Drosophila melanogaster: one gene and its partner. The protein of the gene in region 2 interacts with the protein of the main gene of each other region in a pairwise test. Each region holds a gene or a part of one and is shown on either strand. Other genes may lie near its edges. The genes, in order: CG16815 and CG7786.

Region 1 (12,457 bases), on a different chromosome or scaffold from region 2:
GCCATATAAGCTAGTGTACCAATCCACAGGACAGCATTCAATCGAGAGTCTTCGAGTAGAACACACATAGCATAACCATAGCATATCATACCATACAATGGAGCACCATCAGATCTATCGCCACAAAAAGTTCGACATGGGTCGAAAGATTGAGAAATGCGATTTGCAGCTGAAGGAAGAGCTAATCTCCCGGAGCGGCACACCCTGCACCAGTCGGAGTCCTTTCGATGCGGCAAATCAGTCCGTCAGCTTGGGTTTCAGTGATCAGGATGCTGACTTTCCTCCACTGCCAAAGCGTCGTCGTTTGGGATCCTCATCCTCAAGCGTTTCCTACCAATCCGCCAGCCCCATCATAACCGAGGCCATCCAAGACATCTTCAAGTACCACGTCAATATGGTGCGAAAATTCCCGAAGAAGGAGCGTTCACCGAAGGATCAGGAGCGCCGCAACAAGAACACAATTGCCTGCAGGATGAGTCGACGGAAGAAGAAGTTCGATGACCTGCAGATCGAACAGCAGTACAAGGAGTGCTCCGATGAGCACCTCAAGATCGCCGAACAGAGTCTGCGTGCCAGGGTCTATTTGAATCATCTGAAGCAGCTGGTCAAGCAGGAAGACCACCCGCTAGTATCCTCAAGGAGAGTTCCGGAGGAGAATACCAAGAGTAACTTTAGCATCGACTACCTGATAGGTGGTATTAAACAGGAGCATGCTTAGATACGTCCATCTCCTTTTAGGATTGTATTATATAGTTATTATATTAATGCTAAGTTGTTAAGTTTCTTCAAGAACTTTTAGTGCTAAGAAATTTAGTATATATTTAGTATAAATGCCTTAAAAGGTTAAGCAGGAACTTCTTAATAAATAAAATATGAGGATTTAATTTTTACGGCTAATTGATTTTTTATCGTGTGCTTGACTTTTAATCTTCCTTCTAAAAATGGTATAAATATTAATTTATGACATTGGCAGAAAAAGTAATCAAGCGCTAATGAAGCAATGAATATATTAAAAATATATATAAATAAATTTAATAAAATATAATAAAGCGTGGAGCCATCGAAATAAATCCCAATTAATCCCCAGGGGTAGTTCGCGTGGTGTCACAGGCAATCATCAGCCCCTGGAGCAAATCGTTATTGGTGACCCCATCGACTATTGCCTCCCCCCATGGAGAATATCAAGCCAGTCGGATAAAGTTCACTGGGTATTAACCCTGCACCCTGGTCAAACCACTGGCAATAGAGCCGTAAACCGATTGAAACCGCAGCTACGGGAATGTGGGCTTAAATAATAACTACTCCTATTCCCGTCCATCGCTCAGCTGTCATTGTCGCACTTAAAGTTAAACTAAACACTTTAGCTATTAGTAGCTACGATATTTTCAAATACATTGTAATCGAATTGGTCACGCTAAAGGCTTTCATTTGCATAACCCCTAATCCCTGTGGAAAATTTCAACGTATTAATAGGAATGGCAAGTGCTATAGTGTTTCCATTATTTTAATCCGATTAGGTTCCATAAGATGAATATATATGCTATACATGCTATTAAAACTAATTCAGAATTCAATTTCCTTGCTAACCGTTTCTTGTTTTTTTCTTTGACAAAAACGAAGCAGCCATACAACATAATAACTATAAACTTTAATAACATTATTAACGAAACAATAAATTTAGTATACTCTGTCAGGGTTTCTAATCACAGATTAGATCAATGTGCGTCACTGCCGCCGGTGGATGCAGTGGTTTCCATGTCAGATGTATCATTGGGTGGAACTCCACTGCTACTCGGTCCGTGGTCCGTCATGTCATCATCGCTCATTCCCTCCTCGGATAGAGGATCGTGGTCCGCCTCCAGAGGTGGATCCATAGCCTTGACCAATTTCACATACTTCTGGTTCTCGGCTTCCGTAAACATTTTAAACGGCACATCCTTGCCCACAATGGCCACATTTATGGTGAGATTCTCGACATCATCGGAACCCAACGATCCTCGAATGGCCTGAATGGCATGACATATCAGTTCATCCATGTCGCAGTCCTCGAAACTCTCCATATTTCGCTCCAGATATGTGCGAGCACTCTGCGAACGAGATCCAATGGCCATTGCCTTGCAGTTGAGCACATTGGCCGTGGGCATCACCTGGTAGATATGTGGTCCCTGCTCATCGTATCCAGCCACCAGCAAGCCCACACCGTAGGGACGACGATCATAGCGCTGGGTGGTGGTCTGCAGCTTGTTACCCAGATTGGAAACCAAACGGCGAACCGGAAATTCTGCGTTATAGGAGTGCCGATATGCCATGCACTCCGTCCTCATGTACTGGCACACCACGCGGGCATCTGCCGTTAGTCCTGCGATAGACATACCCACGTGGTCATCCACCGGCATGATCTTCCGCTGGAGCGTGTTCGTGTCCTTTGAGGTGCGGCACAGGGCGGCCAGCACGGCATAGTCGGTGCCCTTGAGTCCCACGGTGGCTGCTCCCTGTTTCACCGCCTCCATTGCGTACTCCACCTGGAAGAGACGACCCTGCGGACTCCAAGTGGTTGTGTCGTTGTCATACTGATTCCGGAACATGGCCAAAAGTGTGAATGAATTCAGCGAAATAACGTTAGCTTGTTAGTTGCAAATTTGTCTAGCTTGAGTTGAAAGTAATTGAAAACTGATATTAATTTCAAGGGTTTGCTTATTCATAGAATTTCTTAAAATATTTACTCGTGTAATTGTTAATTAATCAATTTGTAATGGCCAATTCTAACTAATTTCATAGAATGAGGTCACAAAGAAAGGGTTTCGATGCATACCAAGAGAAAAGCCAATTGCAATCCTAACTTTGCTTTCACTCCAGCTAACTTGCATAATGCCTAACCATGTAGAAAATCAACGGTCTATGAGGAAGTTCGGGTGATCCGATGGAAAAAACATAGGCTGATGTTCGTCACTGAGTGCACCCGCCTCATATGCAGCCAACTGCATCGGGCTGTGAGTGAAAAATAGGAGCTATGATTTAGTCGAAGTATTCATGCTGCCGGGGAAGCCCCCTGCACATAACATAATTAACTCTTTTGGCGATTGCGCAATCGCTGTGCGCGAGCAGTTAATTACTTTTAATTTTCATTGATAGTACTTGTGGCAGTCCGACTTCCTATGGCGCAAATTTCCGTCGCAACTCCAACAACCCAGTAAACCACTTTGCACTTGTACCATGCAGCCAAACATCAATTTCAGTTAATTGTTGAGTTTTTTTTTTTGTGGCTGCATTTGGTTTTTTTGTTTTTGGCTTTTTTCTTCTTTTTTTCCAACTGGCCTAACATTGAAAATTGCATTTCTGCGCTTCGAGCTGTGTGTGCTTGCAAAACTCCGTCTCACTGGCCAATTGAACTTGAAGCTTTGCTTGGACTTTGTCTATATCTCCATATCGCCACATCCGATCTCTGTCAATATCATTAGCCAACAATCCACCGCGTTGAAGGCGATGCCAAAAAGCTTGGCCCAGTCCAAAATGTGGTTCTTTGTGGCGGGTTTGAACCTTGACGAAAGCCGCCACGAAATGAGAACGCCATGAAAATTAGCTAGACAACAATTAGTTGAACTTTGCTGGGTAATGGCACTCTGGGTAAATGGTTTCTCGGAAAAATCTGTCAATGCTTCGATGACTCACTTACTCCAGTGGTCAGACAAGTCACTGGAGTAAGTGGTTTTTGAGCCCTTGATTGAGCCCTTTTTTACCAAAAGTCATATCAAATAATAGATAATCTACTTTTGATAGCAGTACTTTTAGTTTTATTGAGCTAAAAATTATACCATAAATTTTATATATTATGATCACGATTAGGTTGTAATTAAATTAGAAATGATAATTGATCTCTTAATCATTTTATATAATTTTACTATTTTTCAAGCCGGTGGGTTAACTTAAAGATGTTTAAAATCCTAATATATATAGCATTATTATACATATGTAAAAAAATGTAATGGTTGCGATCCACTGACCTCCTAACAAATTTAACAATCATTTTAGATTAAATTTCGAATTTTCCAAGTGATAACCCCCAGTTAACAAAACCGGCAATTTAAATTAAATGCATAACTTTTGATTTATTTCAAAGTCAACAATAAATATTAATAATTAAGGCTTAATAAACTAAATCACATGATTGGGCTATCCATAGTCGCTGATTATGATATGATTTTGGACGGTCAGCAGTGCTGGCCACCAAAGATGAGCATCTGCTGGGAGAGGGCCATCTGCTGGAGGAACTGTTGTTGCTGCTGCGGCAGGATGTGACCCGGTGCCGGATTTATGGCACGCTGGAACACCGCCTGTTGGAGGATGTGGCGGTAGTATAGACTGAGGCGCACCTGCTGTTCCAGCATGGCGGCATGATGACTCCGATACTGCTCGTACTGCTGACCCACTTGCTCCTCCTGTGCCTGCTTGGCCCGCCGGCTGAGTAGGCAAGCCAGCGTGTTTCTATCGCGGCGCATCTGCTCCTTGGGGCTTCGCTGACGATTGGTGTTACTGCGGCGCACCATGTTGGCACGGTACTGGCTGACCGAGGATCCTGGGCCACTGGGTTTCGCCGCCGTTGACGTCTCCTTCTCCGCCTGTTGGTTCTGCTCATTATCCAACCAAGGTCGGAAGAATCCCTGTGTCTGACGGCGCTTGAAGATCGGCTGTTCCGACTGCTGAGTTTGGTTCTCCTTGTCATGGTCCACTTCCCGTTTCCGCTTGCTGACGGCAAACTTCTTGTGGGTGTAGCTCGATGAGTTCTCCATTTTTGTATTTCGATAATATGACTCCGAATGAGTTGTGGTGATGATGTGACTCGTTGGACGATCGCTTGCTGAATGATTGGCTTCGAGATTGATATCCTGGTTATAAGCACAGTAGGTAGGCGGTACAGGTAGCCACATAGGGAAATCCCTTTGTTTTGGGTCTGTCAACAAAGGGATTAGCGCATCCATTCCGCATTAGGTAATCTCCGTCCTGGATTAAGCAGCATATTTTATGACCTGCTCTATCACAGCGCTAATTGTCGTCGCAGGATTGCCTCATTATCCTTTTTTTGGTGTGTGGATTACCTGGATTATCGGACAAATGTGGCCACCGGAACAGGAAAGTTCTGGACCGAACAACTGTTATGCAGGCGATGCATTTTTTTATTGACCTGCATGACACAATTTGTTGTGGCACCGTGTGTGGTCCCTTTGGCTCCTGGTTCCTCAGCACACTTTGTTTTAATTCCCTGGAAATTCTCGAGGGTCCTTTGCCGAACACTTTTCCTCTAGAATGACATGGCATTATATGTCCTGGTCGGTGGTTAGAAAAAAGTGTCAAGGATTTTTAAAGACTGCTGACAGATGCGATTTCAGTTTACGGAGAAGGAATTGCATTCATGGAAGTCTTGAGAGGTGAATTAAATATATTTAATCCATTTATTAGTTTAGGTAGTAAAACACGCCTTTAAAAATATTTAAAGAGTTAAATAAACTTCGTACAAACATGTATACGGCATATATCATATATATAAATGAATTAGTAAAACACTATTCGTGTAAATAATTTAGTATATTAAGATTTATTTATCTGCGCAATTTTTAATCGCGGACAACAATATGATGATTTCATTGATGATTATTTAAATATAAAGGCGGATCTTATTGTCACCGTGTTTTAATTATTTTGCAAGCACTTTGTTCGTTCGCTATGCTGATTTGTTTATAAATTAAATAATTAAATCCAACTGAAATAAATTACAATTTTATTCCGTGTTTCCCACAATATGTCACTCGTGCCGAATCGATTCAATTCTCACTGTAGTCTGGCTATGTGAATCACTAGAATTACTTCACACCTTAATTAGCATTGCAAATTGCGCTTCCAAGAAATTAATTACATAAGATGTATTTAATGTTATATAATGGCAGAAAAACCAAGTGAGGTAACTCTTATGAGCTGATGCTTCCGGTCAGTTTTGGTCTAGAACAAATCCTCATGATGTTAAACGGCGGAAAAGAAATATCAGACTTCCAAATAAGATTCAATAAATAAGACCCCGAGTTAGATTTCAATCAATCAGAAACCAACTAAAAACCAATTATTACAAAATTCTATAAAAATTACAAGTTATTTCGATAACAATTAGTGTGTTTATTGTTTAGTCAACCAGATAAATAAATTAAACTTTAAAAGTAATCACAATCACTATTCAGCTTTTCTACAATAAGTTAGGGCGCATTGAGCAGCGCCCAGTCGTTGCACCATGTCCACCCTTCAAGGATGCTGGGTGGTGGTCTGTTGGCGCGGCATCATGTGCCTTGGCTGTGTGGGAGGCAGTGGCTCCGTGGAGGCCATCGCCTGCTGCAGGAAGCGCACATAGTAGAGACTCAGGCGGATCTGCTGCTGCAGATTGGCCTCGTGCTGAATGCGACTGGTCAGGTATTGTTGTTCGATGAGCTGCTGCTGTTGCTGCTGGGAGCGTCGATGGCGCAGGCTGGCCAAGGTGTTGCGATCCCGACGCAGTTGCTCCTGTGGACTGCGCTGGCGGCGCTTGTGGTGATTGCGCACCATGTTAGCGTGGTAGGTGCCATCCACTTGTTGTGGCGGCGGTGTCGATGTAGCCACAATCTTACGTGGCGGCTGTGGTTGCTCCTCTTCCGGAGACTCATCCATCCAGGGTCGGAAGAAGCGACGCTTAGGCTGCGGCTGCTCTGGAGTGCGTTGGCCCGGCTGTTCCATAATGAAGACCACATCGTCATCAGAGTCCGCATCCATGCTGCGCTTTCGCTTCAGAGCTCCAGTGAATTTCTTGTGGTTATAGTTATCCATTCTTGATTAAGAGTAGTGGTGTTCGCTTTGCTGTCTTCGAGACGACTGTGCTGCCCCTCCTCCTGGCCATCCGTTTTATGCAACATTAGGTAACTTGCAGAGCCTCCCACGAAAACGGAATGGCCAAATGGCAAAGATTTTCCCATCACGTACCTGGGGATCACGGTAAAACGGATCAGGTATTTCCCCAACGCATTTCATTCATTCCCTAAAAATGGGACCAAAACTAATCGGCTGCTGTTACCTGAATTGGGAATAGGGAGTTCCTAATCCGCAGGCTGGCAATCTTCTCAAAGGGTGTCATAAACCAGTTGTTGTCCTTGCCTCGTCTGTTTACGTGGCCGACGATTTTCGACGAAATTACCTGTTGTCGGGCCCGAAAAAGGGATCTCTGTGTAGAGGATCCCTGTGTAATCTCTAATCCTGGCGCTCAATTCGTCCAGGCTGTCTGCCGGCCGACCCGCTATTGTTTCGGCTTTCTTTGTGGCACCTGAATAGCAGACATGCTGCAGTTTTCAATGCCCGATCTCGATTCGAACAACAAGCGTTTATGACTTTCAGCTTGGACAGCTGAAGAAAAACCGTCTCGGAGTTTCTGAATCTCCCGGTACATGTACATACTAGCAAACCTAGAAAACCGGCAATTACTGAATGCTCCTCCCTCTGCTCCCTGGTTTCGTGTCTTTGGCATTATGTCGGATTTTTCCGTTTCATTCAATGGTCCATTGTCCATTGATTTATGCCGTCAGGGAACGAATGTATATGTGGTAGATGGTTCTCACATTTCAGTGTTCCTCCGCCTAAGCGGATTTATTTCAGGTGGGCTTGAGACGAGCCCTCCTCGAGGAATCCCAAAGTCAATAAGCAGGAGCGGAGTGGGAGTTGGTTATTTGTTCAGTTGAAGTATTACAGTGAAAGATTGTCGTATTGTTTGATTGTTTTCCTTTTATTATATTGATCAATTTTCATCTGTTCTGGAACGCAGAGAATCGATTGCATTGGGTCCTCCAGGGTAGGTGTTGTTCATTCCTTCAAGGGGAATGACCTTAAAAAGAGCAATAATATCCTACCAGGAAGTGCTTTCACCAATGATACAATTAAAGGTTGTCTTATATAATGTTGTATTAACAGGATGGTGGATGGGAAAATAGATTCCCATATATTTTTCTAAGGAGTAGATCTTTTCAGCGATGGGAAATTTTAGCCTTGAAAAGTTTGCTTTTTTCTGAGAAACAAGAAGGAATTATGTAGATGAAAATAAATAGGTAAAAATGTCTATTTAAAATATTATGATCCAGAATCGAGAATATATAACTTTGTATGATAGCAACGATTGTATCAACTTGCGTCCAGGATAACCTTGTATAAATATACCAAGGATTATTCACTTTGAATGGTTTAGAATATTAAATTAAGTCCAAAGATTACTTTTAAGAATTCACTTAAAAAGGGAATAGAAAAGTTAAGGATATATGTATATATTTTTAAATTCGTATAGTTGTAAAATAGTAAAAGCAGTAGTAAACGTATTTACAATAATGAAAATTCGAACTGCATTTAAATGTATTAAAAATTTTAAACAATAAATAAACTGCTTTAAGAAAAACCTATATGTGTGTGTGTTTACATATTTATGTACTTGTATATCATAAAACATTATCTTTACTAATGATATTTAAAGTCGGTTATAACCCTTATAGTATAATGCAGTATAGCAATATTCTATTGTTTATATCACAAGATTTTCACTTTGAAGGTTTAGTTTTGAAAAAGTATAAAATGAAAACCTTATAGTCTGATTTCATATAGCAATATTTTAATTTCTACATTACCAATCTTTCATGATCGCAAACCAACAAAAAATAATGTTTAATTAATGTATAATAATCATATAGTGAGTGACATATTATAAACAAAATTTCTTGCTTTTCCATAAATTATGACTCTACTATTATACAAAAAAGAAAAGAATCCAAGAAATCCCGTGAACAGACTAGGCCAGACGCGCACCCATCGATTCGGGAAAATCCCAATAAATTTCCATTCAATGACCATTGTGACTAAGCAGCGGCTGGCATTTTGCCGAAGGTACATAAAGGTATACCCGGATACCCTGGACGAGAACTTAATGAGGCAGATTAGCGGTAAGCGAGATAAGAATCCAGATTCCGAAGCGTCCAGACAACGTGGCCCAGCATCAAAGAGTGGCAAGCGCAGGCGCTGGCCAGATTTCGAGGTAGAAAACGCTTCTCGAGAAAGTCGGCAGGGAAATTTCCAAGAAAACCCGGACGGACTAGGCAGACACAATAGAAGGTGCGAGCAGCGCGCTGCAGCAAATGAAAAATTAATTACAAAGGACTTTCAGATGAGCAGGTAGTAGTAGTCGGCCAGCAATGGTCACAGGTACTCGTAGTGTATGGATGTATGCCGAAATCCTTTTATTCTCCCTACGACAATGCCAACCTTTTGTCAACGAAGAGTTTCCCATAAACAGGGCGCATGTTCGCTCTTAATGATAGTGTTTTCAGGTAGGACCTCTGATCTCGTTGGTATAAAAACCTGGTTGCGCAGCAGCAGGAGCATAGTCGAGCCTTAACAGCCGTCGTGAAAACAACTCAACAAACAACACAACTTAAAACCCCAATCATGGCACCTTCGAACATGGATTACCACAACGAGTCGGAAGTTGGCGAGAGCTACACCCACAAGAAGTTCAAAACCGCCGGCTATACGCACAAAAAGTTTGGCAAGAAGAGCTCCAAGGATATCGCCCCCAACCCAGCCAATGCCACGCCCCTATTCCGGCCATATGCCCTCAGCGAAAATACACCACGAAAGCGTCGCCAGGAGACGGAGCGAGAGGTTCAGCAGATGCAGGAGCAACCATTGTACCATCACCACTCATTGCCTCCCACACCACCAACCACGCCACCGCAGCACCAGCAACATCCGCTTCCTGCCACCCAAGTTCCGGTAACCCAAATTCCGGTCACCCATTCGCCGGTCTTCAATCACCAGGCATACGCTTACATGCTACAAAAGCAACGTGCCGTGCTCCAGATGCGTCAACTGCTCAACATCAATCCGGATGCCAACACCTGGCCACTGGAATGGCGCCAGGCCCTCCAGGCTCTGCTGCAGCAATGAGCTTGATGCGCACATAAACACATTCGAAACGGAGTGATTTGCTTAGCAACCAGTGATATAGACCTTTAAGTGACCGCGGACAGATTGTACAATATGAACGAATGCGAAATTCTAGCGTAATTGTAGATACATATAATTTTAAACAAAATAAATAGTTTTTCATCATAAAGTTAATCAATTGGTTTTATGTTCTGACAGCTTGCGATGGATACTAATCGGGTATTCAAAACAATCAGGAGTTTAAACTGAAATAATGAGATCAGGATCAAAAATCCTGCCATTTCTCATTCATTTCATACATTTCAAATCAACTTCTATTTTAATTCAAACATGTACTGGCAAATTTAATGAGGCTCACATTTACTTAAACTTTACATAGAGTTATTGAAGCCAAGGCGGTCAAAAACAGAGCCAGATTGATCTCGCTGCCTGCTGTGACCAGCATTCATGCTGTTATGGCGCCTTGGCGGAACATATTTCTTCTGTGGCTCCGGTCGCGGCTGTCGATGTGGCGGAGCTGGTGGAGCTCTAAGGGGAGCGGAGGTCGCGGTTTTTCCAAGCCTCCTGTGGACGGGCACCGTGTCCTGTCGGCTAAACAGCTCGTCGCTGCGCATGCGTATGGTCTTGCCCTTAACAGGACTGAGTCGAGCCTGTGGTTTCCTTGCAGGCGATGCCTTTAGGTTGTATGTCTTCTTCGTGGCATGAAGTTTGGATACTAAAAAAAATGTTATAAATTAATTGACTGTGCCACTTCTGCTCTGAAGCAAACATACCCATTCCGAGCCTTGATTTAATATTATTCGCAAAACTTTTGCCCTGCCTATTTTTGTATGCCGATTCGGGAACGATTTCCCGAACCTCCGCTGTCGAGGCGAACTTAACAATCTTTTCGCCGGCTCCCATATCAAAATCTTCTCCGCTGGACATGTAATCCTCTTCGTCACTTTCGAAATCGTCCATGCTATCATCGTCGTCGTCGCCTTTTTTAAGAGGCACTTTGTGAACTAGCATGACCTTTTGCTGCGTTACAGCGGCCACCTTCTTCGCTTTCACAATGGGCGAGTTCTTGGTGACCCCTCCTCCTCCTCCTCCACCACCAACTGTACGGTGTGTGTTTTTAAGGATCGATTTGATTTCCCTGGTCGAAGTGAACTCCTCCGGAAGAGCGCCCTGCTTGCCACCGAGTCGAGCGAAGACCGAATTATTGCTGGAGGTGGCCGCTGTTTTTGATGCGCCGGCAACGTGCACGCGGACGCTGCTCTCGCCCGAACTGGAGACAATGCCCTCCTGCGCCTCGTCCTCGGCATGCAGGCGCGTAAATATGTCCGACTTTTTGGAGCTGCTCACACGATCGGAGTATACTAAAAGAAGATATATTGAAAATTTGATCTTGTTCTTTAGAAATCTGTAATCTTACATTTTTCCCGCTTGGCTAAGATCTGTTTGCTGCGCTCGGTGGTTCCCGAGGGCAGTGTCACCTTGTACTTGCCCTCGTGCTCCGGAAGCACCCGTCTTGCAGGTTTCGCAGGCGGATAAACCTTTGCTTTTGGAGTTGCAACCGGCGCTTTGGGTTTTGGCGATACCGGTCGGACAACTGATTGAACCACCTCCGTTGTGAGGACCTGTTCCCGGGCATTCTGTTCGCAGACGGTCTTTGAGTGCCGCAGGATGGCGATTATATCGCCCATCAAGGTTATGCCCATTTCCCGGAGATACTCCTTGTTAAGATCCAACAGCATGTCGTCCTGGATGCGGTTCTCCACGAAGACGTGGGCATAGCCGGCAGCCGCAGGAGATGGGATGCCGGCCGCATTGAAGAATTTTACCCAGCGTGCTGTAATTTTCGGTGGTGAGTTCATTATTTTTAAAGTGTGTGATATTTTTTAGGTCTTTATTTTTGTTTCGCACCCGGAAGCGTCTGTTCAGTTTGTTTCGTTTTCACGATGTTATAAACCCACCTGCGCTTGACTTGGACATTTTGCGTATTTCTGGTGCTGGCAAGCACAGATTCTTACACGATTCAGCTACTATTTATTTATTTTATTCCCATAAATTCCGTTTTTTGCACTCGAAACTATTTATATATTTTAGAGTTACCACAAATCCTGAACGATTATCGGTATTCGGTTATCGGATATCGATTAGACCATGTGTTAGTGTTGTTAAATTCCAAAATGTTGTAGTAGGGGTAATCAAAGCAAACACTGTTCAAATTTAAATTTAAAGAATCTTATTAAAATCCTTATTAAATTTCTATATATCGTGATTTAATGTAGTACACTTTGGCAATATATGCTTAATTATTTATTTACTCTTACATACGTACGGTGTACATATTAAAAGAAGTTAGTATAAAAAGGATTTTTTCATGGACTGTCGGTATTTTTAGTACTTCCACACTGTTGTTAAAATTGTAAACAAATCCCGCCGCACGTGTGATATTTAGTTAAAATCAAAATAATTGTATTTC
Region 2 (12,460 bases):
AATTTCAAAAAGAGCGGCTAGTGTCGATAGAAAAATATCGGATGGGCAATCGATAACATTAGCTAATTAAAAGTTGTTGAAGTTTAAAATGCATTTAATAAGCTCAGAGCTCTATGCTCCTAATTAAAGCATAACACTGCAAACGTTGCAAACAAATAACTAAATTTAATGAAACATTTTTTAATAATACCTACCAGTTGCATTTAAACATGCCAGCCCTTTTCAGCACTGTCGGATCAGCTGATTGTGTTATTGCTGGCCTCTTTGTTGTTGCTATGTACAAGGATTTGGTTGCCAGGGAAACAGGAAAAAATGTCACAACTGAGCTGCATTACGATTGATTAAATTTACGTGGCATACGGCATTTACTTCTATTAATTCGCAGCTTAATTAAGCACTTTAAACAGCATTTATTCCTTCTAAAATGTCAAAAAATGCGGGGCGAACCAGCAGCAAAAACGTAAGCCCAAAGAAAGGCACTTGAAACGAAGAATATATACATATATATCAAAAGCACAAATATATAGTACACCTTTCCATTGATTGGCAGCCAACAGCGATTTCACTTATTTGCACAGCAAATTTGCATTTCACTCGCTCACAAAAACCAAACCAACGAACTTTTTAACATTTACACCTGTCGCACAGTTAGATTAGCAGCTTAGTTTTCGAGTTAATGGCAATTAAAGCCTTATTGCCCAATAGCACACACATTAGCATTTTAATAGCGCAGCACATATGGAATAGCATTCAATTAAAACTAATAAACGAACCGATCGCCACACAAAAAAAAAAACAATATGTTAAGATTGGGTCAGTGTTGTAAAATGCTAAGAAATAGTGCTGAGCACCCCGACAAGACGTTATGATTTCAAAAATCTTTTCGAATTGCAGGTCAAAACGGAAGTGCCAAGGAAGGTCACTAAATCACCAGCAACAAGTGGACCGGCCACCACAAGGGAATCGAAGGAGCGGAGGTCACTGGCCAAACAACCGGATAGCTTGGAAGGTGAAAAAATTGCGAGGAAAACCACAACAGCAGCGCAACCTACGACCGCCAGCAAAAAGCCATTAGCCACGGGGAAAAACAAGGAAAGGGAGTCCTTGAGCAAGAGGACCACTCCGTCCCCAGGTGCATTGCGTGCCACCACCAGACACACAACCACGACCACAAACCCACCCCTGCAGTCCAAGACCACCAAGACCACGAAGCTCGTGGCCAAATCGAAGCCCAATGCAGTTCTGGACACGTATCACAGTGTTACGGTCGCCTCGCCACCGCAAAAGCGCAGAGGACAGGCGGAGCAGGAGAAGGAATCGCCCACGCCTTCATCAAAAGAATATTCCCCTGTTGCACAGACTCAAAAGGAGCACAAGCCACAGTCTCCTTCCAAGGGAGATGCTCGTATTGTTCCGGCAAGATCCAGAACTTATACACGCACCTTGGATCCCGAGGAAGTGGTTATCCTTAAGCGTGAATCCGCCAAGCAAAGAAGCGAAGTGGAGGCCAAGGAATCAGAGCCTGTGAAACAGCCAGTGGCCTTTGAAGTCAAATTCGATGAAGCCAAAAAGCCAGAACCGGAATCCGATCACTACTCCGATGACTTCGAATCCTATGAATCGGATTTCGAAACCGATGCCAGCACGCCCGACGAGGTGGAATCCGATGAAGCGCAGGAGCCCTCATCCTCCGAGGCGGAAGTGGAGGAGGAGCGGGAGGAAGAGGATTCGGAGCCCACCCAAAATCCCATCACTGTGATCCAACGCGACAAGGATCAAGAGCGGAAATTGGACTCCGGTCATTATGACATGCATTTGCGCAGGAATCCCTTGAGCAGTCTGTCCACGCAGAATCAGTATGATAGCTTTGATACCAACTCGATGGCCAACTCAGAGCAACTGGACTCGGGCATTAGCACCACTGGCGTGGAGAAGCCCCGGAGTGGAGAGGCTAACGTGTACTATGGTGGCTACTCGGGATTCGTTTCCCATCCCGTGATCAGTCGTCGCGGCGAAGAGCTAATGGCCAAATTGCGTTTCGATCAACTGAACTACCACCTGTTCGAGATGAAGCCCCTCAGCTACGAGGGATTCATGCAGAGCTATGGGAAGCTGAATGCCAGTCAAGTGGCCACACAGACGCAGTCACCACACATGGACGGCGAGTGCCAGACGCTGGAGGTGCACAGTCGTAGCAGCTGGACCCAACATCCACCCCACTATGGTGGGCAATTCGTTCTCAGCTGCAGTGTCGATGCGGAGTTGGATGAAACATGGAGCAAGCAACCTGCAGATGAATACGAAGCTAGCATTTCTCGATTGGAGCAACTGCATCGCCTGGAGCAGGCACGCTCCCAGCAACTGCAGCAAAAGAGATTGGCCAAGAGCACGGATCTGGAGCGACTGAATTCGTTTCTTCACAGGGCCGGCAGACTTATGGGACTGGTTTTGGAGGGCAAAACCACGGCCCACGGCCAGGGGAATAGTCCTCGAAATGTACCACTTCAGACGGGACTGCTGAACGCACTGCCTGTGCGTCGAATCTTTGGAAGTGCCGGAAATGGACAACTGGTGGTCACCGTGCACGAGTGTCCTGCGGACAGCAATGTATATAAGGAGGACTTTGCCAGCCTTCTGATGGTGTGGTCACTGGCCAATCCCAGCCAGCCGTTGCGCCTGCTCTCCACCTGGGCGGAAGTCAGCCGTGTGGCACTATCTGCGCAGGCCCAGGATATCGTGGTGGCCGGACTGAGAGATGGTAGTGTGGCTATGTGGGATTTGCGCGAGACGCACAGCTACTGCTCCAAGTTGGATGGCCACCTAACCCATTTTGCAGCCACACAATCGGTGGTTCCCATGCCGGAGCAACAGGACAAGGAGGTAAATGCCATGGATCTGGGCGCTGTGGTGGATGTGCGCAGCTTTAGATCACACTTGAATGCTGGAGGAGTAGCTGCGACTAGTGGTTTGCAGACGACGTACAAGGAAGTTCAGGTAGGTTTTATTGTAGTATTCATTTATAAATTCTATGTAAAGATCTATATGAATACATATAATTAATTATATATGCAATCCTTTGACAGTACGCCTCGCTGAATGACTCCGGCCTGCTGACCATGTGGACCCTGGTGGAGGGCGCCTCGTCCACCAACAGCAACGAGTTCAGTTCGCCGTGGGCGCGTGTGAAGCTACTGCAGAGTGGCAGCTGTGATCTGAGGAGCTATCTGGAGCGACGCCTCCTGAAGAGCCATCAGAGTGCGTACGAGAAGACCAAGTCCCTGTTCCAGGGCAACATCTACAGCGATGATGTGCTGCGTGAGCTGAATGACACGCAAACGCTGACCACGGCACTCCAGGGACAGGGATTGCAGGGCCTGCGCTTCACCAGCATCGATACGGGCAGTGAGCTCATCTATGTGTGCACCAACCGAAACTTTGTGCTCTGCTGCACGCGTAGTTTGAAGACGGAACGCTTCGCGAGGATCGCCGTGAACGAAAGTCGTTTCCTGTTTCCCACCTCGTTGTGTGTGCTCTCCAATGAGAACTATGTGGCCGTGGGTCTGTCCAATGGATCTGTGATGATACTCAACTGCAATCAGCGACAGAGGCAGCGCCAGAGGAATCAGCAGAGACCCAAAACAGGACTTCCGCCGGCCACGGATGAGCCCGATCCCGAGACGGGCAAATCGTGTGCCATTCAAAACATCATACTCAACGAGCGTAGATCATTTGACCAGCAGATGGATGACAATCCCACGTACGATGCCCGACCCAACACAGCTCTGGAGCTGATTGAGCGACCCAGGCGTTCCTACGAAATGAGGGTCTTTGACCAGCAGCTGCTCCTAAGTGGCAGCGGTCTGCGCCAGCATCTCGTCCAGGCCCTGATCCTCTCCAGCGACGGCTGGCAGCTTTCCGCCCTCACCAATGGCACTGTGCGTCACTACGATTTCTATCGCGACAGAGAGTTACCCGTGGAGGAGCTCATGGACACACGCCTCAAGGTGACGGACATTGCCGGTGCTCGAAGTTGTGGACAGGAACAGGTTCTGCTCATCCTGGACTCGACTGGAAAGGTGCAGTCGCGCACTCTGGACTACTAGCTTGTTAAATATTTTCTAATTATTTGTATGCGTTTGTTGAAATCATTTTTTAAAATGAAATAAACTCGAACTAGTCCTACTCACTTTTAATCAATTTTAATGGTTTCTATTGCACAATTTGTGATATATAAATGATATATATATGACTTTATAGAACTATAGTACTAGCACTAGCAAAATACTCTATATAGATGGGCCAATATTTATATATCTGAATAACATATTTTTTTAAGGGACACCTGCATATGCATACATATATTATTAGAATATCCTTAGTATTTATTTTAAACATTTATTAACATCAAACTAAATAATCTCACTAGCTTCCCTCATTGATATGTACACTTTTCCATCTGATCCCGCAGAGTGGTTCACACCTGCCTGGCCATGGACAACATGCCGCCGGCTGTTGTGGCTCCGAGGAGCTGGCGCACCGTTTGCAGTTCATCCCGCAGCGCCAGGACCTGCGCCCGCAGAATGGAGTTCTCCTGCTCCAGCAGCGCTGCTCGGAATGCTATCCTATCCTCGCGGATTTTCCGCGCATCTCTGGACCTCTTGGCCGCCTCGTTGTTTCGCTTGCGCCGCTCAAAGTACTTGGCATCCTTTTGAGCCTCCGGAATGGGTCGCTTTTCACCGCGGACGCGACGGTGCACAAAACCCGGAAACATACCGCCTCCAATTACGCCCACACGATTGAGCTCCATCAGCGGAAATTCCAGTGCCTGGAGAGCGTGACTTGGTGGTGCGATATACTCGAAGGCGGGTAGAGTTTCCGACGATCTCTTGGCACCGATCATGCCGGGAAAGCCCAGACCGGTTAGCCGAAGATTCTGGGGAATGGAAATGGAGTAGGACGGATTGTTCTTGGACTCCAGTTCCGCATCCAGTTCGGAGTGCATCGATACGGTCTCGGTGACATCCAAAATGGGCGACTGGGCGGGCGAGTGCATCCTATATCGGTGACTTCCGTTCGCGCCGACGGCCGGGCTATATCTGAATCCAGCTCCTGGCTAAGAAGCTAGCTACTGGCGAGGCGACCACCTGCCTGCCGTGGTAATTATAGGTTCTTGTCACACAAACTCCCCCACGTACACACACACACACACACATACACCCGCTTTGGGGCTAATTCTAAGCCAGCCACAACCCTCCATCGCCGGCTGATTCAACCAATCACGCAATGTTGACGGTAATTATTCGTCAAATACATGACACTTGGCCGGGGCCGCATGGCATTTATTTGTGCTGCCCGGTTACAAGGACTTCATATAACTGGTTAGCCAGATTACATGCCCCCAGCCCAGTCCAGTCCACCTCTCCCCGCTCGCCGATCACTTCTTGGCCCTTGGAGTTGACCAACTGTTATGTGTTGGGGCGGAGATAGTAAGGCTTACCCATTGTCCATGCGCTGACCAATGAGAGTGACCCTTGGCTATCGACCGGCATTTTGTGGACGAATATAACAGCGATAACAGCGGTAATAGTCTGAAAGAGGCGTGGTGGAAGCCTACTTGCACTCACTGAAAGTTATCCTTTAGGATATCTTACTATATAGCAAAACATGGGGTAATGTAAAATGTAAATCATGAATATGCAATTTTTAGTCATTACATTAAAATGAAGCCATCTTATTTGAACCATTATACAATAGATATACTTTTTTTGATCCTTAAACTGATAGTTCTTGTAGATTCCTATCACTCCAAATCATTTTATCAGATATTCTAGGCATAATATATCTTCAATTGCTCTATGTGAACTTTTTATTTCCGAGGTTTTTTGAGACTTAAAGGATTTTTCCAGCGTGTACCAATCGATTTCAATAGTCCTAAGAGGAATAGCTTCTGCTCCTTTTTAGCTGAGCTCCAAAAACTGCAGCGTCAGAAAGTTGCAATATGCCTAATCCGCTATTATTAAGACATCAAAAAGTTGTTACCAACTTTATTTTGATCAAGCATGATTCTTCAAAATCGTAAAATTTTACTTGCCTTCCGACAATGCCACTCACGACATCCAAGACCACCGTATGCATATCCAACAACCATCGACATGTAAATGAACTCCGTGTGTCGTCTTTAACCCGTTCCGTTTCGTTTCGGTTTGAGAAAGTGTCACCTGTTTGTTTGCCGGGGTGGTAAATTGGCAGTTTGGGTCACGGAGTCCTTGCCGTCTCCGGCAACCGGAAGTCGCATCCTTATGGCGTTTCATAATGTATGCGCTAATTTATTATCTGTTGGCAAAAGTTTGGGCCATACATAGTTAACCCTTTGACTGTCATGCCACCGATGTTTCGTTTATGGTGTTTTGGCCCAACTGAGAGCCGAACCCGGAAATAATGGATTGCGTGCCGGAGTGACATGTCTGGAGAATTGGAGGCAGTCTAATATCCATCAAAGGGTCGAGCGAGATGGATTCGAAATGCACACATATAGAAAGCAGTACGTTTTGGAATCGGTTTGAATTGGTTGGCATTACCAAACCACCAAACTTCTACTCTACGGACTGAGTTCGATTTTTTTTTACCCACCCCGGGGACCCATTGCTAATGCATTGGGAGGATCGTTTTGGACATAGGCTATTAATGCGTTAGACAAATTACCGGGTAATCTAGACAGTAGAACACGTTATTGCTTCGTTGTTTGTTTGGTCAGTAATTGAAGAGCAAACCTCGTGGACTTCGCGGTGGACAAACCGTTAATGACACCTTTAATTGGATGACATTAGCACCCGGGGGTCTGGGGCATGACCAAGTGGGCCCTGCCCCCATCCTACAGTCAAAGCATAGGCTTCGCTTAGCCTGTCTCTCGGAATAGTATTCATCTAACAAGTATTCATCGAACAAGGAAATCGTATTTTTATAAGCAACGAAATGTGTGACGAAGGATCGATCAGGGAATGTGAGCCCACCACCTTGCGGCTTCCTTTCAACAGCTACCACATCAATTTGCCGCTATATATTTTGGACATGGTGCGCATCTTCCAGGATCATCCCAAGTACAGCAATGGTATCCACGAGGAGCACATTCTGGAGATGCTGGAAAAGGAGTAAGACAGATCGAGTAATATACTTAATGGTAATGGTAATGCTAATCATCTAAATAGACCCTTTGCCTGTGGCGATCTGGAGTCGCAGGTGAAGACCGCTCTGCTGGACCTAACGGCCAAGGGATTCATACGCTTCATTACCAATGGATACCGCACCCTGGGACCCATTGCCAAACTCTCCAATGCCCGTTCCGCGCGCCACTTCAACATGACATGGCAGCGCATTGCCGAGCTGCAGAAGGTCAACTGTCCGAGCCTGGAGGCGGGATCCATCTCCAGCGGACCCTGCATCCAGCGCGGAGCCAACTACTAAATGATTTCACTTTTTGTTGTGTTAACCATTTCGTTTATTGAGTTCATTTCCTTGCAGATCAGCAGAGTAACGCGCCACACACACTCTCCACACTTCTTCCAAATTGTAATCGTCTAGTAAAATTCCTACAAATCCAAGTTTCGGGGTAGTTAGTTGAGTACGGGTGGTCATAATCATCATTATGTTGGGAACACATGTCGCGGGGTCTGCCATCCTTTTGACACTTAACCAGGCTAATTATTCTCAGGGGTTGGAATGTCGCAGGTGTTTATAGGGGAAATGCTTCCGAAACTGATTTAAGTATTACCATTGTGAATAGGCCAACTATCCCTGTTTGTGATCTGGAGTACATCCCCGACGAACTGTGCCCCAATGTGACCCTTGGCCAGGCCCATTACCCTTTTGGCCGAACCGTTTAGATTGTCAACACCAGGACAGCGGAGGACACAAGGAGGACCTGTCGTCATCGCAGTCCGAATATGTGCCCGCGAACCAAACACGCATGGGATCCCGGCCAGGTGGTATTTATTGCCTCTCTAATCGTTGCGGCATAATCTATTAGCACCCCACCCGACAGACAGATCCGCGCTTCCACGTCCAAAACGGTGTCCCTTGATTTTTTGCTTTTGCACATTAAAGGCAATTATTTTTATTGTTTTAGTTTCGAGACAGTTTTGTGTTTGTCATTTGCCAATGGCTGTTCCGCGCTCATAATTGAACCAGCCCCAAGATAGGACATTAATCAAGCCACATGACATCTGGATAACATGTTCGAACATAGTCAGTTTATTGGGATCGCTCCGAAGTAGTGATAATTCAAAAACAAAAAGAGTCCTTCGAAAGAAATGTAAGCATTGTCATGATAATGTAAGTGGTTAAATTGTAACATGGTCAGAAATGAAAAGCTTACAAATAGCTTAGGAACTATTGTTATGTAAACTATGTCTACTTTAAATTTGATTAACATTATTCCGACGACTTATCCCGACTTATTGGCTAACCTGAGCGTAGTTGCGTTGCAATAGCTGTTCAGGTATATATTTCCAATCGTCCAGGAAGCGAATTAGGAAGCCATCCGGTAGGCGCTGTACCAGATGTACATTCATCTCCGTGTTTAGCAGCTTACTCTTGAGATACTCGATGCATTCGATTGTCTTTTGGTGTGTCAGATTTTTTGACCTTACAATTCCCTCAATGTGAAAACTAAAGACGCGGTGGGGCTTAAAGCTGTCCACGTTTTCACATGGAGCCAAGCAGCTTAGGGGCACGAACTCCGTGTTGCCGTAATCCACATAGAAGATCATGTACTCACTGGGGAATTCATCGATTATCTGGGCGCGATAGAAGCAACCATCACTGTAGAGAGCAAGTACAATGTCAAGAAGACGCGGTTTCGACTTGAAGGTCCGTTTGTTCTCTGGCACATCCTTTTTGTCCCACACCAACGGCGGAGATCCGTCCAAAAACTGGCCATAAACCTCGGTGGGGCCATTAATAAAGGTGATCAGGATGCCGACAATGCTGCCGATTTCAAAATGCACTGTTGTATCAAAGATTGTCTCAGGAAGAGCTCTAGCTAGCTCCACATCTTTGGTGGCGCCATTCGGAGCAAAGGGCTCATGAGCAAAACGACAATTGTTACCTTACAAATAAGCCACGTATTAAAACCTTTACTTTGTAAACCAATTTTTCAATTAATTTTCTGTAACTTACCCTTAAAACAGCCATTCAGCTTGGGATCGTAGTGCCGGCAAATGCGTTGCTCGTCCTTGGGACGAAAGCCAAGAACTGCTTTCAGAGGATCACTGGTGCTCTCATCGATTTCATTCAGCATGGCCATGTCATCCTCGGTTATTCCAGCTGGATATTTAGTGGTGTTCGTTTTTGTAGGTCTGCTTAACCTATCAATGACCGGTTCGGCCACTAGTGTAGAATTATTGTTTTCGTGCACTCGAATCTTAATATACGTATTAACAAAGCAATGCATATTGGCGATATCACAGTTGATTAAATCGCATCTAATGGCCTGTGCCGGCAACCGTTTGATGTCGTCCGGTAGTTTAAATATTGTTTCGTTGCCGTCAAAATGAATATGCTCGCCAAAGTCGATAAGATACGCATCATATCCTCCGCCCGCAGAACTTGAGTTGATGGTGATCCGAGTAATGATGTTGTTAATACTGTCGAGAACTGCAAAAATGTCGCCGTAGTCGGGCAACTGGTCCAACTCCTGCAATGGCAGTTGTCGCTGGAGCACCTTCTTAATCCTATCAGAACTTTCATCCCATTTAGCCACATAGGCGCAATTATCCGTTACGTCCACGCTCGCTAAAACGGCAGTAACTATAGTATTCTCTGGAAATGCAGCCATGTCCTTTAAGATTTGATTGTAGATATCACGTCTGGTCGTCTCAGTGCCTCCCTTGGGAGGCAATAGGAATCGGTTTCTGGGACTTTTTGGGAGCTTGTTAACCTTTTCGATCGATGCAGCAGTTACCTCAGTAGGATTCTCAAGCTGCCAGTTGTTGGGCATGTTGATGGTGCTCTTGGAGATCTTGTTGCAGATACCTGTGCCAATTGTTTGAGTTCCCTGTTTTGCAGCCAGAAGGGACTGATTGTCAGAAGTTGCTGGAGCGGAAGCTTCGGAACGTACTGGATTGTTGGCCTTTTCAGTTTCCACGACAATCTTGGAGCCCACTGGGATCTCTTCTAGAGATCCCTCAAGCTGTTCGTGGAAAGGATTCGAGGGCATAGTCTCCTCCATGTTCTTGGAAACTGCTAAAGGCTGCGGAGTAGCGTCTCTCTCTTCTGAGAGGTTTTCATTGACCACTGATATTGCGTCGAGCTGGTTTGTCGAAGAGGCTTCCTGCACAGCCACGACGGGCACTTCCTCCGAAGTGGAGGAGGGCAGACATTCCACGAAGGCCGGCTTCGAGGACTGACATATAGCTTCAGCACAACCCGGTTTTTCGATCGCTTGTAAACCTGAGCGAATCGACGAATATGGATTGTCGATGGATTTCTCGTAATATTCGTAGTCTCCCAATCTGACAGACTGGCGGTTGATGTGTAGTTGCACATTCAGTTTCATTACGTGTGCATTAACTTCGCTCAGACTGGCCACCAAGTGATCGTGCAGCGGAATGAGACTCCTGTACAGCAGATCTGCATGCGACAATTTTTCTGTGAGCTCCTTGTGAATTTGATGCATTTCGGTTTGATAGGAACGTAGATTCCCCTGTAGCTTGTGCATGTTGCTATCGAACAGCTTCATAATCATCGAAATGTCCTCCAGATTCATTTTAAACAAACAATTTAATACGAAAACAGTTTAAAGAAAATATTCGGCGCAAAAGCAAGAGGAAGAGAAGGCAAGGCAAGCGTTGCCCGATGTTGCGGCGTTGAAAGCTTCGATTAACAAAATGCGCGGTCGATAACGATGCATCTTGTTATGGTTGGTGTCTTGGCTAATTGGTTTGAATTTGGCGGCTGTTCAATAATTTCATCGACTTTTTAGATGTTCCCAATAGAAAAGTTTGGCTTTTTAGTTTAATTTTATATAAAAACCACTCATACTAAGAAGTAGATATTATCGAACAACTTGTTTTTTATTAAAAAAAAAAAACATAGCCAGATGTATACACAACCAATTTAATAAGTACTACGCCCACTCAAAGTCCTTTCACAGGTTTTCAGTTGGACACTTGAGCGGGGCCGTGACCGACTTGCTGCAGGACACAAACTCCTTGCTGGGCTGCACACAGCTTTTCTCGCGATTGTAGATGCCCAGAAAGGCGCGGCAATTGGCGCAGTACAGGTACTCATTGTTGTCCGCGGACATGAGGCAGGGCAGGAAGCACAGAGGCCAGCAGGAGACCACCCAGGCGGCACAGCAGCCGTTGTTCGAGATCTCAGTGGCAGCCTTGATAAGCGGCCGCCTGCTGGTCGCGCAGCACGGACAAAAGATGCGCCCCTCCGCCGGTGCCCAGCGTTCGATGGAGGCGCGATAGCATTTCCTCCGATGCGACGTCGAGTTCTCCAATGGACGTGAACATGGACATGGGGAGCTGGGCTTCTCGGTTTTGTAGGAGGCGGCTTCACTGACGGCAGCAGGGTCACCGGCGACAGATCCACCACTGCGACCATAATTCTTCTTTTTGGCCATATCTATCGATTGAAATTTTACGAGGAGACAATCATAGAAACTCGCCCAAAACTCTCACATTTCTCTGCCTTTTCGGCCATCTGGGACTCGGACAGACCCGTCATCTTGCTAATCTTCGAGAGCCGCTCCTCACTGATGCCGTGATCCGCGGCCAGCTTGTGCAGATTCTTGATTTTATCCGTGGTCACTGCGTATATCTCCGGATGATCCTGTTGGATGTGTCGCACCAGTTCACTGGTGTCGTAGCGGGAGCAACGGATCACCTTCATGCAGTGCAAACAGCGCAGTGATTGCGTATCACTTGGTTTCGGATTTGTCTGGGACATGGCCCCATTCGCTATATAACTCTAGAGATACTTTTACAAAAGTGAAATACTTTAGACGACGAATGGGTTTTGTTACTGTTATCATTATTTTTTGATGCCACAATCCTTGAAGGGAAACTGCTCACTCACTCGTTTTCCATAAACTTAAAACCAACATAAGCATTGGCGCACACACGCATTAGGATTTATTTTATGCAGATGTGTGAATTGAAAAAAAAAACCCTCGGCATCAATCAGCTTAAGCCAAGTATGTACATATATGGTATATGGGTTCTCCCGCCTTCAATAAAGACCAACAGAGAATAGCAGGTATACTCAGTGCTATTGTGAAATGGAATACTTGAAGTGGGGCAACTTGAGCCACCCATCCGTGGACTTGTCGACTTAATCCATTCGCCTTCGAGCACCCTGTATCCATAATGCTCCTTGGCTGCGTCAACATTTTATTGTCAGTCATTTTTCGACACCCCCCGCCGACCCCTTCATCTTAACAATCGGTTCCGTTCAC

The links.
Region 1: the proteins of CG7786 (region 2) and CG16815 come close enough for resonance energy transfer, tested with the Drosophila melanogaster proteins (one study listed by BioGRID).

What each region holds. Positions count from the first base shown.
Region 1 is NT_033779.5:13,222,236-13,234,692, reverse strand, and holds CG16815 (uncharacterized protein), read right to left. Parts: upstream 4,862-12,457; 5' UTR 4,788-4,861; coding exon 4,209-4,787; 3' UTR 4,144-4,208; downstream 1-4,143. Other genes in the region: Mabi (mabiki), read left to right, coding at 98-718; Prosalpha6T (proteasome alpha6 subunit, Testis-specific), read right to left, coding at 1,716-2,585; CG16813 (uncharacterized protein), read right to left, coding at 6,286-6,840; CG15480 (uncharacterized protein), read left to right, coding at 9,487-9,987; CG16812 (uncharacterized protein), read right to left, coding at 10,359-10,702, 10,761-11,348, 11,405-11,821, 11,946-11,964.
Region 2 is NT_033778.4:16,229,884-16,242,343, forward strand, and holds CG7786 (uncharacterized protein), read right to left. Parts: upstream 5,054-12,460; coding exon 4,475-5,053; downstream 1-4,474. Other genes in the region: CG15701 (uncharacterized protein), read left to right, coding at 425-460, 895-2,994, 3,084-4,103; CG3687 (uncharacterized protein), read left to right, coding at 6,973-7,148, 7,206-7,461; krimp (krimper), read right to left, coding at 8,451-9,103, 9,175-10,762; CG15708 (uncharacterized protein), read right to left, coding at 11,144-11,628, 11,685-11,952.